Linked DNA regions of Mytilus edulis. The protein of the gene in region 2 binds, or shares a complex with, the protein of the main gene of each other region. Links are inferred from orthologs where the notes say so. Each region holds a gene or a part of one and is shown on either strand. Other genes may lie near its edges.

The links.
Region 1: YEATS domain-containing protein 2-like (region 2) and transcriptional adapter 2-alpha-like share a complex: the UniProt entries of both Homo sapiens proteins name them as parts of the ADA2A-containing complex. The link is inferred for Mytilus edulis from reciprocal best matches to the Homo sapiens genes YEATS2 and TADA2A.

What each region holds. Positions count from the first base shown.
Region 1 is NC_092350.1:28,511,775-28,521,154, forward strand, and holds transcriptional adapter 2-alpha-like, read right to left. Parts: upstream 4,125-9,380; coding exon 2,850-4,124; 3' UTR 2,842-2,849; downstream 1-2,841. Other genes in the region: nudC domain-containing protein 2-like, read right to left, coding at 4,220-4,291, 8,478-8,629, 9,220-9,268. UniProt on the Homo sapiens protein: Component of the ATAC complex, a complex with histone acetyltransferase activity on histones H3 and H4. Required for the function of some acidic activation domains, which activate transcription from a distant site. Binds double-stranded DNA.
Region 2 is NC_092345.1:32,741,794-32,752,583, reverse strand, and holds the start of YEATS domain-containing protein 2-like, read left to right. Parts: upstream 1-5,346; 5' UTR 5,347-5,938; coding exon 5,939-6,160; intron 6,161-7,468; coding exon 7,469-7,571; intron 7,572-7,972; coding exon 7,973-8,070; intron 8,071-10,790. UniProt on the Homo sapiens protein: Chromatin reader component of the ATAC complex, a complex with histone acetyltransferase activity on histones H3 and H4. YEATS2 specifically recognizes and binds histone H3 crotonylated at 'Lys-27' (H3K27cr).

The DNA.
Region 1 (9,380 bases), on a different chromosome or scaffold from region 2:
CCCCAATGATGATTGTGGCCAAGTTTGGTTTAATTAGGCCCAATAATTTAAGAGGAGAAGATTTTTGTAAAAGTTAATGACGACGAAGACAACGCCAGACGCCAAGTGATGAGAAATGCTCACTTGGCCCTTCAGGCCAGGTGAGCTAAAAATCGCTCTCATTTTTCAATATTTCAATTTCTCTTTTCCTCAATTATGACATCACCGAATTTGTACTTATTGAGAGCAAAATGACAGGTACCACCAGTGCAATATCTGAGCACCTGAGAATACACCTGGGGTAGGGGGATGGGGTGATGGGGTGGTTTTTGTTGTTCAGTCATTAGCGTATTATGCAGTGTTTTTTTGGACTTGATTTCTAGTAATGTAAGGGTTTTTTTGCGATGGCATTGTCAGTTTTTCTATGGAAAATGACTTATATTACATTACAGTCATAAATATCTGGCTGTATCTAGTCCAAATTTAACACTTGAAAACGGCTTGAAAACGGCAAGTAAATTAAAAGATTTTTTTGATAAGGCAAAAGAAACCTCACATATATCTACTAAATTCTCGATAAGAAAATAGAAACTAGAGGCTCTAAAGAGCCTGTGTCGCTCACCTTAGTCTATGTGAATATCAAACAAAGGACGCAGATGGATTTATGACAAAATTGTGTTTTGGTGATGGTGATGTGTTTGTACATCTTACTTTACTGAAAATTCTTGCTGCTTACAATTAGCTCTATCTATAATGAACTTGGCCCAGTAGTTTCAGTGGAAGATGTTAGTAAAAATTTACAAATTTTATGAAAATTGTTAAAAATTGACTATAAAGGACAATCACTCCTTAGGGGGTCAATTGACCATTTTGGTCTTGTTGACTTATTTTTAGTCTTACTTTGCTGTACATTATTGTTGTTTACAGTTTTTCTCTATCTATAATAATATTCAAGATAATAACAAACTAGAGGCTCTAAAGAGCCTGTGTCGCTCACCTTGGTCTATGTGCATATATACAATACCCTTCCCTTTCATGAATATGACCTACCGAATTAGACTATTTACCGGATTTGTAATCACATAAGCAACACGACGGGTGACACATGTGGAGCAGGATCTGCTTACCCTTCCGGAGCACCTGAGATCACCCCTAGTTTTTGGTGGGGTTCGTGTTGTTTATTCTTTAGTTTTCTATGTTGTGTCGTGTGTACTATTGTTTTTCTGTTTGTCTTTTTCATTTTTAGCCATGGCGTTGTCAGTTTGTTTTAGATTTATGAGTTTGACTGTCCCTTTGGTATCTTTCGTCCCTCTTTTAAACAAAGGACACAAATAGATTCATGACAAAATTGTATTTTGGTTATGGTGATGTGTTTGAAGTTCTTACTTTACTGAACGTTCTTGCTTCTTACAATTATATCTATAATGAACTTTGCCCATTAGTAACAGAGAAAATTATTTGGTAAAAATTTACATAAATTTACCAAATTAATGAAAATTGTTAAAAATTGACTATAAAGGGCAATAACTCCTTAAGGGGTCAATTGACCATTTAGGTCATGCTGACTTATTTGTAGATCTTACTTTGCTGAACATTATTGCTGTTTACAGTTTATCTCCATCTATATTAGTATTAAAGATAATAACCAAAAACGGCAAAATTTCTTTAAAAATTACCAATTGGGGTCAGCATCCCAACAACCGGTTGTCCAATTCATCTAAAAATTTCAGGGCAGATAGATATTGACTTGATTAACAATTTAACTTCTTGTCAGATTTGCTCTAAATGCTTTGGTTTCAGAGTTATAAGCCAAAATCTACATTTTACCCCTGTTTTAACATTTTACCCCTGTTTTATTTTTAGCCGTGGCAGCCATCTTAGTTGGATGGCCAGGTCATCGGACACATTTTTCAAACTAGATACCCCAAAGATGATGTTGGCCAAGTTTGGATTAATTTGGCCCAGTAGTTTCAGAGGAGAATATTTTTGTAAAAGATTACTTAAGATTTACGAAAAATGGTTAAAAATTGACTATAAAGGGCAATAACTCCTAAAGGGGTCAACTGACCATTTCGGTCATGTTGACTTATTTGTAAATCTAACTTTGCTGAACATTATTGCTGTGTACAGTTTATCTATATCTATAATAATATTCAAGATAATAACCAAAAACAGCAAAATTTCCTCAAAATTACCAATTCAGGGGCAGCAACCCAACAACAGGTTGACCGATTCATCTGAAAATTTCAGGGCAGATAGATCTTGACCTGATAAACATTTTTATCACGGTCAGATTTCCTTTAAATGCTTTGGTTTTTGAGTTATAAGCCAAAAACTGCATTTTACCCCTATGCACTATTTTTAGCTGTGGCGGCCATCTTGGTTGGTTCAACTTGGTTGGCCGGGTCACGCCACACATTTTTCAATCTAGATACCCCAATGATGATTGTGGCCAGGTTTGGTTTAATTTGGCCCAGTAGTTTCAGAGGAAAAGATTTTTGTAAAAGTTAACGAAGATGGACGACGCCGGACGCAAAGTGATGAGAAAAGCTCACTTGGCCCTTCGGACCAGGTGAGCTAAAAAAGGCTTTTTATAGTTGTCAATTTAAAAGGAAAATCTGTTGTGAAAATGATAGCTGTGCTCAAGTGCACTTTTTATATAAATGTGCAACTATGTCATCAGTTTCTATCTAGAACACTGTTCAGCCTCTTTGTTTTGGACAAATATTAATAAATTTCATCTGCTTTTATAAATTCTTAAAAATTAGATTTTGATGGAAAATATCATGAATAAAAAGTTCTGTTCTTTTAATTCATGTACATTGACTTTCATACAATGCTGCAAAAAATATCTGGAATAAGTATAGGAGCTACTCTTTATTAATCATCCCATTAGTCAACAAAAAATCATATAATTTTCTTGTTTTGTTAACATCAATTTTGATCAAACTTCTAGCCTGTCCAAGTTTTAAACATCCATTTTTCTTACACTCATTAATCAGGGAATCACGAAATTCTATATAAGCCTCTGGAACCAATCTAATATTAGCGCAAATCTCTTGTTCTGTTTCTCCTAGTTTTTCATAACCTGGCAAACTAGAAATGTCTAATGGAGGTGCTGTTTTCCGAGGAGCATTTGGTAACACAACTAAGCCTCCTTTTGACATATTGTCTAGCACAGCCTGCCTTTGAAGCCATGTTTGACAAGAAGTTTCATCTTTTAAATGTGATAATAGGTCTACCATAAGATGTCTTTTAGATTTCACTACATTTCTCCTTGAGTTAAGGATGTGATACATTTTACTCTGCTGCATAGAGGTCATGCCATTTTCTCTTCTGCTCTGAAGTTTCTTGATATCATGTTTTAATTCTCTCTCATAATGTATGGCCTCAATATATTTACAATATTCATCAGGTGACACCAATGTTATGAATACTCTCAACTTGTCAATAAGGTCCTTGATGGTGTAACTGTATCTACGGCTGGCCACTTGTACTTTTGGTATGTTGATCAGACCATAATCTCTGACAATTTTCTTCCTTTTCCATCTCTCTTTCATGCAATCGTAATACACATCCAGAACTCCCAACTGCATTTTACTATCTTCATCCTCCTCATCAAAATCTAAATGTTTGATTTCCAGTTCCATGAAGTTGTCATATTCTATTGTGAAATCACCCCTTCCAGCCATATACCCACTGAGGTCGTTGTTTTCTGGGTAGCGTGGAGGGTCGTCACACAATTTATATAGGATTGGCTGAGGATAAACAGTCCTCTCTGCCTCTTTAAAGTGAGGCAAGTCCTCATGAGGTTTATCAATGAAATATTTATTGTAATGATTCTGACATTCTGACTGACTTTTTGTCCGTAGCCTGTGAGCTACATCTGACCAGTTGCCATAGCCACAGTCTGACATGATGTCAAGTAACGTTGTTTCTTCCTCTGCCGTCCATATCTGTTCAAACAGCGGAAAATCTGTTCTACAAACAGTGTAGGGATGATCGTTTTGATGAACACCAAATATAACTCCTTTAGAGAAGCAATGAACACAGATAGTCATGGAGTGACATACTTCAGCTTTACATACAATGTATGGCTTTCTTAGTTCACATTTACAATTCATACAATAGTGTTCCTCCTCCATTTCAATGTTTGTTCAATAGTTCAGTATAATATCAAATTTTTAAAATTTTCCTTAATTCATTGTGAAAAATGTCTAAGAATTACTATGAGATGACTTTAGCCTAATTTTGGTCCTCCATCATGATAGTTGCCTGTTATTGAAGCACCACTGAAGTCAAAACCAGGATTCTGTAAAATAATAAAACAATATTGTGCTATTAGTGTTCAACTTACTTAATTTTCTAATAAGGTCAACTTACAGTGTTGTCTTCTTTTCATCAGTTTTTGGAAATTGGAAATAATAACTCTCAGGAATTTTTCTAAACAATCTAAAATTGAACTAGATACCTTATTAAAGACTCAGATGTAAAATTTAAGACCACAGTGCAAAAATTTCTTAAAGGCATGCTTTTCTTACTAAAAATACATGGTCTGTTTGATTAAAGCTTTTCAGCTGTTTTCTGATTTTTTAGTCAAAATCATGATTTAAGGATAATAGCTGGAGCTAGCTCCTATACGTTGTTTCCAATGTAGGTATCAATAGTAGAGCTATAATAGTATTATTAAAAGGGGTACACAGTTATTTTCTATAATGATTTAATGCAAAATTAACATTCAGATTCTTTTGTTTTGATAAAAAGAGAATTGAATTTTTTACTTTAAAATATCAAATATTGACAGAATAAAACTAGAGGCTCTAAAGAGCCTGTGTCGCTCACCTTGGTCTATGTGAATATTAAACAAAGGAAGCAGATGGATTCATGACAAAATTGTGTTTTGGTGATGGTGATGTGTACATCTTACTTTACTAAAGTCTTGCTGCTTACAATTATCTCTATCTATAATGAACTTGGCCCAGTAGTTTCAGTGGAAAATGTTAATAAAAATTTACAAATTTTATGAAAATTGATAAAAATTGACTATAAAAGACAATAACTCCTTAGGGGGTCAATTGACCATTTCGGTCATTTTGATTTATTTGTAAATCTTACTTTGCTGAACATTATTGCTGTTTACAGTTTATCTCTATCTATAAAAATATTCAAGATAATAACCAAAACTAAAGGCTCTAGAGCCTGTGTCGCTCACCTTGGTCTATGTGAATATTAAACAAAGGACACAGATGAATTCAAGACAAAATTGTGGTTTGGTGATGGTGATGTGTTTGTAGGTCTTACTTTACTGAACATACTTGCTGCTTACAATTATCTCTATCTATAATGAACTTGGCCCAGTAGTTACAGTTGAAAATATTAGTAAAATTTTACAAATTTTGTGAAAATTGTTAAAAAATTACTATATAAAGGGCAATAACTCCTTAGGAGATCAATTGACCATTTTGGTCATGTTGACTTCTTTTTAAGGTCTTACTTAACTGTACATTATTGCTGTTTACAGTTTATCTCTATCTATAATAATATTCAAGATAATATCCAAAAACTGCAAAATGTCCTTAAAATTACCAATTCAGGGGCAGCAACCCAACAAAGGGTTGTCCGATTGGTCTGTAAATTTCAGGGCAGATAGATCTTGACCTGATTATAACAATTTTACACCATGTCAGATTTGCTCTAAATGCTTTGGTTTTTGAGTTATAACCCAAAAACTGCATTTTACCCCTATGTTCTATTTTTAGCCGTGGCGGCCATCTTGGTTGGAAGGCCAAGTCACCGGACACATTTTTTAAACTAGATACCCCAAAGATGATTGTGGCCAAGTTTGGATTACTTTGGCCCTGTAGTTTCAGAGGAGAAGATTTTTGTAAAAGATTACTTAGATTTACGAAAAATGGTTAAAAATTGACTATAAAGGGCAATAACTCCTAAAGGGGTCAACTGACCATTTCGGTCATGTTGACTTATTTGTAAATCTAACTTTGCTGAACATTATTGCTGTTTACAGTTTATCTCTATCTATAATAATGTTCAAGATAATAACCAAAAACAGCAAAATTTCCTTAAAATTACCAATTCAGGGGCAGCAACCTAACAACAGGTTGTCCGATTCATCTGAAAATGTCAAGGCAGATAGATCTTGTCCTGATAACAATTTTACCCCTGTCAGATTTGCTCTAAATGCTTTGGTTTTTGAGTTATAAGCCAAAAACTGCATTTTACCCCTATGTTCTATTTTTAGACGTGGCGGCCATCTTTGTTAGTTGGCCGGGTCACCGGATACACCGGATACGCAAAGTGATGGGAAAAGCTCACATGGCCCTTCGGGCCAGGTGAGCTAAAAATGCTTAAAATTTTGGTTTTGAAAAATTTATCATGTTTATTAGAAACTTTCATATGATTATTATTATGTTTTTATCAAATTTAATTAAATACTGACAAAATAGACCAAACCTTACCCTACTTTTGTCTTTAATGAAGAAAATCGCCAAATTCTCCCTGAAATGGAGATATAATCTTGTTTATAAAGTAATTAAAAATATATATTTATTAGCTAAAAATAAGTTCAATGAAGTAAAGACTGCCATTCAGTTCTCAAAATCCAAACATATTTTTTTTATGTTTTATACTGTTACACATACATCATGTTACTTTAAAATTCTATTTCTATATCAACATTTGTATTGATTGATTGTTCTTTTCTTATTGTCCAGTTACACATATTTCATGTTTATATGCCATTATTATTAAATTACATTATTCTCATTAAACACATTTCATTGGAGAGCAGACAACAGTATTAGTAACTTAACTTTACTAGTTCCTTTTTTGATTATATAATTTAGAATATGTTGGCATGAAGAGAATAAATATAAAGACTCTACTTGGAATTCAGTGAAAGTTATCAGTTTTATCAATTTAAGAATAAGTCTTCTACAATATGTACTTAATTCTATTTTAAAAGTCAATGTTTCCTTATTTTCAATCCATCCTGTTTTCATGGTCTTTAACACTGAATTTATATCTATTTTTTTGGCATTAAAATATTACCAATCATTAAATAATTATTGTCATTCATTATTTTGTGTAAAATTTCACAATTTAGATCCAATTATTTTTTAATCTAGTCCTAATGTAAATTCATAATTATTGTGATGATTTTATTAATTGTGAAAAATGCTGCAGTATCAGATTTACATTACAGAAAACTTGCATTCGTAATTCCAGTAGTGATCTAGATCTCCCTTATAAATTTTTAGCAATCACATTTACATTTAACATGTTTGCCAGCAGTCAAATTTTAGCAATAATATATATATGCAACATTAGTTTCTGAATTAACAGTATATACAATTGTATTAAATATAAACTCATCATAAATAACAGGACTAAATTTTGCATATACGCCAGATGCGCGTTTCGTCTACAAAAGACTCATCAGTGACGCTCGAATCCAAAAAAGTTAAAAAGGCCAAATAAAGTACGAAGTTGAGGATTGAGTAATATATATGTAACTATATGAGGGTTGGAAGCCTCGGTGGACGAGTGGTCTAAGTAGTTACTACTGTAATCACTAGCCAGTCAACACTGAGGTTGTGAGTTCGAACCCTGCTCATGTGGGTGCACTCGATTTCAATCTTAATTGACTAGGATTGTCAGTTTTCCTTTCAAAGGTCTGTGGTTTTCTTCTGGCACTCGGGCTTCCTCCACCAAATTAAAAACTGGGTGCCATGAAATAGCCTAAATCCAGAGCTTAAAAGTGGCGTTTAAACACCAAAAATCAATATGAGGGTCTGGATGGGGTTTACAAAACAGGGAATAATTGGCAAAATGTCCAGAATACAGGGCAAATAGAAGAAAAGAGAAAAATAGGCCAAAAAAATAAAAATAAAGAATAATGGGGTTTAAATATAAAGAATTGAGAATACTAGGGTTTTAAAATATAAAGAATCAAGAATAATGTCATAATAGATAAAAGAACAAAATGGTATAAAATTAAATGAATAATGAAATGAAAGACCCCTGATTCAGACCCTAAAATATACCAAAACTAATATTCTAAATTAAATAGACACAGTAAATTCAGTATAGCTAATGAATGTCAGTTCAGAGGTAAATCAAATTACTGATAAAGAATTTTGAAATTTATAATACATAAAATTTAGAATGGAAACGGGGAATGTGTCAAAGCGACAACAACCTGACCATAGAGCAGACAACAGCTGAAAGCCACCTATGGGTCTTCAATGTAGCGAGAAACTCCCGCACCCAGAGGCGTCCTTCAGCTGGGCCCTAAACAAATATGTATGCTAGTTCAGTGATAATGGACGTCATACTAAACTCCGAATTATACACAAGAAACTAAAATTAAAAATGTATACATTTATCATGTTTATAGTCTAATTGAATATATCATGCATACATAACAGGATATTTTTTGCTGTCATTTTTAGAATTAAATTTGTAATAATCTGCTTTACCTCGTTCTGAAATTTTTCCAATGTTAATTTTTGTTCCATCTGATCAAAGGTAGAGGGATCTGCTTCATATTGTGATTTTAACAATGACTTCCAACAGTTGCCAGCAGTACTATGGACCTTTGGTAAACAGATTCTTATCAACTTCTTATCTTCTGTAAACATGTATGTACATAGTCAGTAAAATTTTTCAAGTCTTTCTATTCAATTCAGTAAACCAGAACAAAACCAATGCTGACAATTCAACGAAAGTTCTATGTCAATTTCGGTTTCACTGATCATGCCAATTTAATATTACATATATATAATATTATAAAAGATTAATATTAAATGAACAGTGATATAAGAATATCATGAATATGGCATGTATGTTTTCTTAATTCTCTTTTGAGTCAGCCAATTTTATATTATTGATCACACATTTTTTATCATATAAAAAAATAAGAAGATGTGGTATAACTGCCAATGAGACAACTCTCCACAGGAGAACAAATGAAATAGAAGTTATCAGCCATAGTTCACAGTACAGTCTTTACTCTTTAACAAAGAGCAAACCCATACCCCATAGTTAACTTAAAAGCCCCTAAATGACAAATGTAAAACAATTTAAACAAGAAAAAATAAAGGCCTGATTTATGTACAAAATAAAAATAAAAGTGATTGATACCTTATATATAGTGTTTCTGATACAAAATGATTTACAAAAGTCCTTTGTCAATACTCAAATTATTAAACAAACTTATACCTAATGTCCACACAGCTTCATCAGCATGCACAGCTTTATGCAAATCTCCCTGGAAATATAGAAAAGATAAATTGCATCAACTAAAAGTAAGGGACAACAGCAGTGAATATCTTGGCAAAAACTGGTGCAACTGATATAAATCAAAGTCTGTAATGATTGTT
Region 2 (10,790 bases):
AAGTCTTTGTATTTAAATGCTAAGGTGTCAACAATTGATAAGCGTCATATTGCATCTCTTCGATGAGCTTCTGATGTTTTAGAACATATGAGATTGTCGTTGAATATTGATTAGTGTTATAATGGATCAGGTCGATGTGTTTCCCTAAAAATAGATGGTCCGTTGATATGTATTTCTCCCTTGTGTTTGGAGTTTTTATCCGAAATCCCGTCAAGTACAAGCTAGTGCTAATGTGTATTGATCATAAGCACTAAACAAGAACCTGGAAACGTTTTGGACATAAGTGGTACCTTTAAAGTTCTTCTGTGTTCTCAATTAATATGCCGATACTGACGACCACTGTCAATATACGAGCTATGTCAGTATAGCGAAGCATGCGCTTCCCGAAAAATGCTTCCGAGCGTTGCGAAGCAATTTCATTGTGTTACTTGTTCGGTCATTCCGTATCAAAAATTGACGGGCGCCTGAATCATGTAAATATAACTAATTTCTTAAAATACCCAAACAAATAGACAAATGATCGAATGACCAAAATCTGTGAATTAAGTTTTTTATCCATCATTGAACTTTTGATGTCTTCCCTTATCCGGCGTTTTTTAACAAATTATTGTATGATTCTTGTAGGCAGTGGCTTCGGCAAAATAGCCTCTTAGGTGCTATTTTACCGGCTCCGACAAAAGTAGCCCCCTTGCGCTATTTTCCCGGCTCCGGCAAAATACCGATTAATATAGAGTTTAAATTTGCTATTTTGCCGGTCTTAATTCAGATTTTTAACCAAGACTATATGTTATATATTTTATAAGGACACTATTTATGTCCAAATGATATATGTGGTTATAGATGTTAATAACCTATCGTTTTGATCGACTTGCCTTCTTAATCGTTCAATTTTGGTGAACTGCACCTATTTAATTACATGTACATACGTTAATTTCTGTAAAACATTGAACGTTCGAAAATGGAAAATAACAAAGGAGTAGGTTCAGTGAGACCCCTTTTTGGCCCCAAAATTAAGCAGTTTTGCAAAATTGTGAAAATGTTATCTTTTAGCTATTTTTTGGAAAGTAGAATGCTAGCTTCTGCTACATAAATATGTGCTGTTTTTGACAATACAATGTACATATCGTGTACTAGCATCATAAAGTCATGCTTAATTACTGAAATCTTCACAATTATAGCATTTTAGTTAAATTTTAGACGGTTTCCGTCTTAAATGAAAGTGGCCGCATTCGTGTTCATTCATAATATTGAAATGTAAGTTGTATTTGATGATAATACATAATATATATAAAGGTTGAGGATGAACACGGATGCGGCCACTTTCAGTTTGACGAAAACCATCTGAAAAGTGACGTTTTTTGGCATATTTGATAGATTTTTCATATTTAAGCTTCAATCGGAGCGTTTTTAATGACTGAATCAAAATCTTTTACATAAACTAATCGAATCAATTGAAATAGACACTTAAGTGTTTAAAAAGTGTCCTAAATATCTCATTAGATGAAACTGAAATTTGGGGCCAAAATCGGCCCTTACCGGACCTACTCCTTTGTCATCAAACAAACTTGTTTTTCGACTGATCATGGAAAGCTACAGCCGGTTTAGGAGTACTTTAAATTTAAACCGGCGAAACTATAATAATCTACTATGGTGCAATGAAATATTATAAGATTAATAACAAGAGATTGTACCGACACGATGCATAGAAATCTATAATGACAGCATTTATTCTATGAATGTTGAAAACTGAAATGATCTTTTTTGCAAAAAATTTTGCAAAAGTGATGCAGACGAAACAGTCAAGTGTTATGTTCATTTCATGTCTGCAGTGGCACCTTTCTACAAATTTACCAAAAAGCAAGGCACAGAAACACTGTTTTTGAAACGCTCGTAAAGCAGTTTTAACATGTTTAAGATTGTTGTGTATTATAGTATAATACTTTTTGTTTCAAAACTAATAGATGATATTTTCATTAAAAGTTTTAATCAGAATGTCCATTTTCTATATGGGTTCGTATGTGTAATATACATGCATGATCATACATTGCAACAATGTATTGTCACATGATGTCTCTGGTATGTGTAATATATATATTTTTAAAAGAAATATTAAAGTGAAAAGGTACTAATATCAATTTTAATATTTATTTTTTAAAAATATATGATATATTATATATTATTATATATATAGTGTTTTTAGAGACTTCTAGTAAATAATATCAATTTTTTTTTGGGAAAAAATTGGTTGCTTATATAATAATCTTTATTGCAAAATTACACCCATGAGGGTCAAGCAATACAATCAAACAATAATTTTATACTGTACAATGCAATACAATGAAATACAATGTAATACAATGAAATACAAAATAATACAATACAATATATAGAATAATAGAACATTAGAGTTCAATTATAAATGTATGTAAAAAAAAAAAAAAAACACCATCATAACCTTGCCTGACACGGGTCTGACTCCCTCAGTTCTAAAGACTTTAATGAAGACTCCAATATGACAAACAAGTTCAGGGATGGGGCTTAGAATGTGTTTAAGTTTATTGAATGCATCAAGATGTTGAAATAATGGTACATAGTCTTTTAGATAAGCAAAAAGATTAGAACGCAAAGATATGTTAATGTCACAATACAAAAAGAAATGAAATTCATCATCTAGGACTTCACATTTTTTACATAATCTTTGTGCTTTTGGAATGTTTCTGTACCTTCCTAATTCAATGCCGAGGGAATGATCACTTAGTCTAAATTTAGAAAGTAACTGCCTATGTATAAAATTATTGCAATTTAAATATTCCTCAGACTGACAATTATTTTTTAATTTCCCATAAAGACAAAGTTTGGATGAGGAATCCCTTTTTGAAAGTTTAATTAAAGTATTTTTTTCATGTTCCTCTGAAACACACTTTTTTATATTACATTTTAACATGTTTTTTGATTGTTTAAAAGGTACATTATTATTAGAGTAATTTTCTGGGTTTATTTTCATTTCTTTAAAAATTTTATCTGCAAATGAGTACCAAGAATAAATTCCTTCTGAATGTAAATTTATGTTTGTTTGTAGAGATTCTTTAACCAGTGGATTAATATCATTACAATTTGTTCTATAAAAATACATGAGTGTTTGAGTTTTTATATAGGAGTCCAAAGTAAATCTACCTAATTCTGATCTGGCACCTATGTTAGTGGCTGTCTTTCTCAGTCCTAATACTGCTTTACAAAATTTAGAATGAACCTTTTCAAAGGGATATTTTTCTGCTAATGCAAGAGTATCACAAAATGTATTATTTACTGCAGCTCTATTAGATGCCCTAAAAGCTGACTGAAAATTATCCATAAACCAAATTTCAGAGTTGTATGTCAAAATAGGTCTTATAAGAGTATCAAATAATTTACATGACAAATTAGTGGGAACAAAATTAAAATTGGACATATATTTTCTCAATAAAAATAAAACTTTAATGCCTTTTTTAGACAGCTCTTCAGTAGTTTTTGTAAAATTTCCCCTATAGTTAATAATATTCCCTAGAAATTTAAAGTCCTTAACTTCAGTCAAAAATTTATTATTGAACAAGAGGGGTGGGGATTGTTTATAAATATTCTGAAAAACTAGAATTTTAGTCTTGTTAGTATTAACACTCAACTGCCATTTAGTGCAATATTTATTCAGTTTATCTAATGCGTTTTGAAGCCACTGGTGTGTCTCAGACAGTAACACTAAATCATCTGCATAGCTGAGAGTTTGGATACTTGAAGTATCAAGAACGGGAGGGTTACAATTTACATCAAAAATTGAATGTAAATCATTTATATAACAATTAAACAAAGTAGGACTTAAACTGTCCCCTTGTCTTACACCTCTAATTATTTGAAAAAACAAAGAGTGTTCATTGCCAATCTTCAGTGCAGACTGGGATAAACTATACATATTTTTCAAAGTAGTATAAAATTTCACACCAACACCATCATTTATCAATTTATACAACAGGCCATTATGCCAAACAGAGTCAAAAGCACCACGTAAATCTACAAAACAAGCAAACAGCTTTTTCTTATTTTTTTTCAAATATTTAGTGACAAGAGTTTTTAAAATAAATATGCTATCAGATGTTCTGTGATTTGAACGAAATCCAAATTGATGACTGGAGAACTTATTTTCATAATGCTTTACTAGTCTTTTATTCAAAATGGAGCTATATAATTTTGCTAGACAGTTTAAAATAGAAATGCCTCTATAGTTACATTATGTCTTCTTTATCTCCAGACTTATGGATTAAAACAATAAAAGCTTTCCTCCAGCTGGTGGGGTAAATACCAGATGATAAAATAAGATTAAAAAGTTTAACTATGGCTGAAACTGTAACAAAGCTACTATATTTTATAATTTCATTAGATATTAAGTCAGGTCCAGCGCTTTTCCCTGATTTTAATTCTTTTATACAGTTCTTAACTTCTGATATTGAAAATGGACTATCAGTACAAATATTATGTTCTAACGTACTCTCAAGCATATTTAAATCTTTTTTAACTTTATCTTTAAAAGAGTTATCATATTTTTCAGCTTTACCAAGATTTTGAAAATGTTCTTCATAGTTATTTAATTCAATATTTAAACAATCATCCTGTTTAGTGTCTTCATTTTTTAATTTTTTAAGGAGTTCCCAATATTTTTTTGGGTCATTTTCTTGCAAATTTGTTAATGTTTCATATAAGTTCTTTTTAAATATAATTTTCTTTCTCTTTACTAATTTTTTAAGTTTTTTAGCATGTCACGGTAAAAAATTTACATTTTAGCTCTAAATTAAATGGTTCTCGTCTCAGTTTAGCTCCTTTTGCTTTAATAGTTTTTTTAAGATCACGTATTTCATGGTCAACCCATGGTTTTCTGTTTAGTATTTTTTGTTTAACTTTTTTATATCTTACAATTTTACATGATTTATTTATATAGGGAATCACTGAAGCGTGACTGGAGCGTGCCCCCTCTTAGGCAGTCAGTGGGCCCCACTTCTAGCCCCACTTATGAAAATTTCTGGATCCGCCACTGAAAACTTTATCAAATATTTTATTATATTTTTTTTTATATATATATTCATTACAGATATTAATATCTTCATTAATTCTATTTGTAGTAGAATATGTTTTTTTTTTTAAAGCAAGAGGCGTACATTTCTGTCAGATAAAAATTTTTGATCTAAACTGTAACACGTGCTTTTATTCTTTTTCTCTTCATTGGTTTCGCGGAATTTTTCACATGAGTAATCATGACCTATCTGTTTCAACCAATCACAGTTGTTGTACCTTTCATTGATTGATCAACATGGCGGCCTCCATGAAACGTAAAATGAAATTACTACCAAAACAATCAGATATCTACGTAACAAACTCTGTATACACAGTGCTATCATGCCTGACTGAACAAACACTACTTGATATTAACTAAATTATAAGATACACGAAGATTTGCGTCCAAATATTTTTTTTGACATTAAATAAAAAAAATCCTTTCTTGTTGCAGTTTTGACAGGTCGATTTTTTTTGCATTTGGTAAACACCCCATGTAACAAGTTGTGCATAAATAATCTCACAATTTAAAATAAATGGGTACGAATTGTACCTTAAAATACCCTCTATTAAAACCTATTTATTTTTATAATGAATATTTTTCCACTTCTTTTAAAGTCATATGAAACCAGTGAGTGGTGAAAAATAATGTTAATCCAATTCTTGAACCAATGCATGTATAATCATAAACTTAGAACTCTGTGAACGATTTTGTCATTTTTTACGCAAATATATCGTATAATTGTCAATTTTTTTTCTCTCTATCTGTTATGATTTAACAAATATGGCTGCTCATTAAATGCCGTGTTTTAAAGCCGAAGTTTACCAATTGTCACCTTATAGTAAATAAATAACAAAAAGCATGGGTATTGAGCACGTGTTAAACATGTACAATCAGATAGTTGTTTATTTTAATGACATATCCATGCGTATTGTGATCGCTGGATTTTTACGAGGAGGGTTACGCTCAGGTCACTATGCATACAGAAAAAATGTTGGCGAATTGCTTCTTGGAAGCATGCAATTAAAAACTAATAAACTTCTTTTAAATGTGGACAAATTAAAGAATTTTCCTCAGAAAAAGGTATATGTACATAAGTTGTATAATGAAAACTATCCATTTAGTTATAAAAAACATATACATGTACAATGTATGCATGATTTTTTTTTAATTTGAGGTTTCTTATGACTTTAAAGGAAGATAAAGTATTAACAATTGCAGAGCCTTTTTAAATGAGATATGTCATTTATTTGACATGATGACATCTGTATTGGTAGTGTAGAAGCCTGTTGAGGCTTTTATACATGCTTTCAATTCATGGCGATTTCTGTATAAATTAAATTAAAAATAAATCAAAATACAAATAAAAGATTAAAAGGATAAAGGTGTATACATTCACTAGTCCAAGATTACTCTGTGACTTCCAAGGGCTGTTTTTGCCATATATAATGGTGGGGCCTTGGGACCCTAGCTTTCTGGCAAAACAACCTTAGACATCAGAGTAATCTCGGACTATACGATCACTTGCTGTGTAATGATTTTTCACAGATAAGATTGCTGTAAAATTAAGAAATCTCAGATACAATGTCATGTGCAATGTACACTTTATAATAATGTAGATTTAACATTGGTCATCAATTCATTATAATTGTATATAATTTTCACCTGAAATTTTTCATGGTTTATACATACAGGCCATTAGGAGTATTTATATGCGATCAAACCTGATCAAGGGAATATTGTGTCAGTAGTTTTATAGAGATAACTTGGGCACTATTATTACATTTATTAAAAAATGCCTGTTAAAAAAAGCATAACAATTAAAGTTAAAATTTAACCATATAAACCAAACACTGCAACTATGTTTTTTATGCCCCACCTACAATAGTAGATGGGCATTATGTTTTCTGGTCTGTGGGTTCCTTTTGTCCGTCTGTTCGTTAGTTCGTCCGTCTGTTTGTTCGTCCTGGTTCAGGTGAAAGTTTTTGGTCAAGGTAGTTTTTGATGAAGTTGAAGTCCAATCAACTTGAAAGTTACAAAATGTAGTACACATGTTCCCCATGATATGATCTTTCTAATTTTAAATTAAAGTTTTGACCCCAATTTCACGGTCCACTGAACATAGAAAATGATAGTGTGAAGTTCAGGTTAAAGTTTTTGGTCAAGGTAGTTTTTGATGAAGTTCAAGTCACATCAACTTGAAACTTAGTACACATGTTCCCTATGATATGATCCTTCTAATTTTAATTCCAAATTAATTTTGATTCCAATTTCAGAGTCCACCGAACATGGAAAATGATAGTGCGAGTGGGGCATCCCTGTACTATGGACACATTCTTGTTTCTTTCTTAACTGTTATCTCATATCATATTTAGATATTTATATTTTCAGACTTGTAGCATGGCTGTTAAACGTGGACATATTGACATTGACCCAGATTATGAAGATGTTACAGAGCAGCAGTCCAAGAGACAAAGAGTATTTGAAGAAGATGGTTTGTATCATTTCACTAGATATTACATTAAAAAAAACCAACACTAATGCAGGAATTATCAATTTACAAAATTTTAGGAACACCTACACCAAAGGCTAATGTAACCACATATGTTGCCATCAATTGGCATCCATTAAAAGAAATCATGATGTGAAAGAAACAGACTGAAAAGCTTAAAAAGATATTAATATGAAAATCTTGACATATTTACTGCTGATGATGTTTTGAAGAATGATGATCAAGAGATAGCATTGTCTTTCTGTTAAGAATTATGAAAAAATCGAAATAGTAGATATAGTTTTCAGAAGCAGATAAAAATACCTATAAATATGTTTTCCAGAAGCAGATATAAATACTTTAAATTAGTATCAAATTGATATTGATTAATTAATCTATTTCAGCTAAGGAAGCAACAAGACGGAAGATTGAGAATATTATTCACAGTCAGTTTACAATGGAGATACAGAACAAAGAAGAAGAAGTAGATGAGACCGATCAGGTAAAAACCAGGTGTTTTATTTGCAAAAATTCAAGTAAGAATGACAGCTGTATGAGATATGCTAGGTTATAAAACAAATTAAAGTTTAAAAAGGCAACTCAAACTTATTTGCTCACCTGTGTATTCATTAAGGTTAGGATTAAGAGGAAATATTTTCAGAATAGGAAGCAAATTCATTCTGGCGAGGGGTCTGGGGCTGATTATGGTCTCCAGTGGGTCCAGGGGGCTGAAAAGAAATATAGCACGTTTGAAGTAATTTTTGAGGGCCTTTCTTATATTTTTATGTACACAATGTAGATATTATTGTTCATGAGCTATTGAGACAATTAACAATTAGATATTTAAGACAGAATGGTTAAACTTATGACAATATTGGACGTTGCAGAGAAGCATTGTTAATTTAATACCATCAAATAATGTTCAACAAACAAAGAAATCTGTTTTTGCTTGGAACTGTTAGAAAACATAATCTAGGAATATCAGCTTAAACCATTGAATGTAATTTATATTGAAAGTTTGTTTGTACTTTGTAGATTTAAGTGTTGCTCATTACTTTGTAAACTCTCATCAGTGGTGAAAATTGGCACTGGTCCGATGGTCTGAGACCAGTAGAATTTGTGTCGAACCAGTAGATTTTGTCAGCTGGTGGTCCAATGGACCAGTAGAAATTTGTCGATAAAACTCACTGATTGCATCAAAATATTTGGTTTTTTTTTGCAAACAAATTTACCTGCAAAATCAATTACACATACTGGGGGTTCTAAGTATTGCAATTAATCAAGGTAATTAGTATCTTGGATGAGCGTCCTTCACAACAAAACAAAATGTTGGAAATTTTTGGGAGGACTGCTGGACAAAAAAAAAAAAATAAGTGTCGTTCAAAAGGAAGATACAGTACGGGTAGGGACTTATTTTTATGGATGTCTTAATCCGTCTAGTCGGATATGAATAATCCGACATTTTTATGGTAGGTAGTATGGTCATTAATCAACAGATCCAGGTGTGAATGGTCCTTTCATCTTAATCCGTGTTGCTAGAATTACGGTTCACTGATTTCAGAATCAGATTACCTGTAATTTTAACCTCTCAGTCACTTTATTGATTATATTAGTTCTACATCGTATTTGACATAAAATATTTTTACAGGTGAAGTACTGGAGAAAACTTTGTTTAATAAAAATAGCCTATTTTTGTTAAATTATGGTTTTGATATTTCAACTGTTATTTATTTTCTTTGTTCCTAAAAAATATTTTTATTTTATGTTCCTTTTCGTTTGTTTTTTTTGTTTTTGTATCTTTTTCTTATTTGTTTGCATAAATTTTGTTAACATATATATTTTTACATGTATTCTATTTCTTGAAGCTTACAGTTATTTTTATTTTACTGATTTATTTTCCACGTAAATCCATTGATTAGCAGAATGCTGTCTCAAGTGCTGCTGCATACGTTTTAGTTTGATGCGGTCACATGCAAAATATTTCTATTATTTGTATTTAATATTCAGTCTGTGTTGTGTCAGTTTCGAGATAAAAATAATTACAGTGAGCAATACTTGTATATTATTAGTAGCTTGATGATTCTTTGTAGTTTTTACTTTTTACTGTAAACAAATATTGTCCGAAAGTTGGAGATGTACAACTAAAAAAGAACGTAAATAATAACACTAGAAGAAAATATTGATTCTTCCCGGGCATAAGTTTATTTTAAGATTTCCGTGTTTGTTCATTATGCTAAATTAATATAATTGATCTGGATTTGGGGGTAGGGGTAAAAGGGGTCCGGATCTCGAAATCCCAGGCTTAAAAACACGAAGTCCCAAGGTCCCGAATTGAAATAAATTTAAATCCCGGCATCGCGAAAAAAGAATTCCCAGATCCCGATAGGGTTAATCCCGAAATCCCGAACTTAATTGCATAATATTAATTTACGCACAATCCATGTAAAAAAGTAAACTTGTATGTAATATTTTGTATAGCAATCTAAAAGAAAAAATTGCCGTGAAAAGACAATTCCATGATATACATATCAGTGATCAACAGCGTGTGCACGTGGTTGAACTTTAACTTGACTCCACTCACAATAATATTGAATGCTAATAAAAGATATTAAAGATCGATTTTGTCCACTGCACAAGATTTTTATATGGCGGGAAATGTCGTAACAGTAAACACAGGTGACCTTACTGACCGACCGTGGGAAAATTCATTCATGATTAAATTTGATGTGGAATGATTGACAGTATTGTGCTTTAGTTTTGAGGCTCTTGATCGATTTACCAGAATAGAAATTTAATCGATTTACATACATGTATAATCAAAACACGATTTAGTCTTCTTTAACTATTTTTTGTTTTATTTTTATCAGTCATTTCCCGGATTCCCATTTAAAAAATCTATTTGGAGACCTCCTTTGAACTTCGGAAATAATACTACATCGATTTAAAAAATCATACTGACTGCGCGAGCTTTTAGTCAATAAACTATATAAGGTTAAACTTTGATTTTCGTGTATCGATTTGATACAATTTGTAAAATATATTTATAACACCGGCGATTTTCATAAAAAATTTCAGACATGAAAATAAAAAGGCATATTATCTCGAGTGTCAACAATTTTAAATAAAATAAAAAAAATAGGAATCGAAATATGATCTCGGCGTTATAAATATTGTATTAAAGGAAACCAATTGTTTGACTTTCAAAGAGATTAACGGGAAATA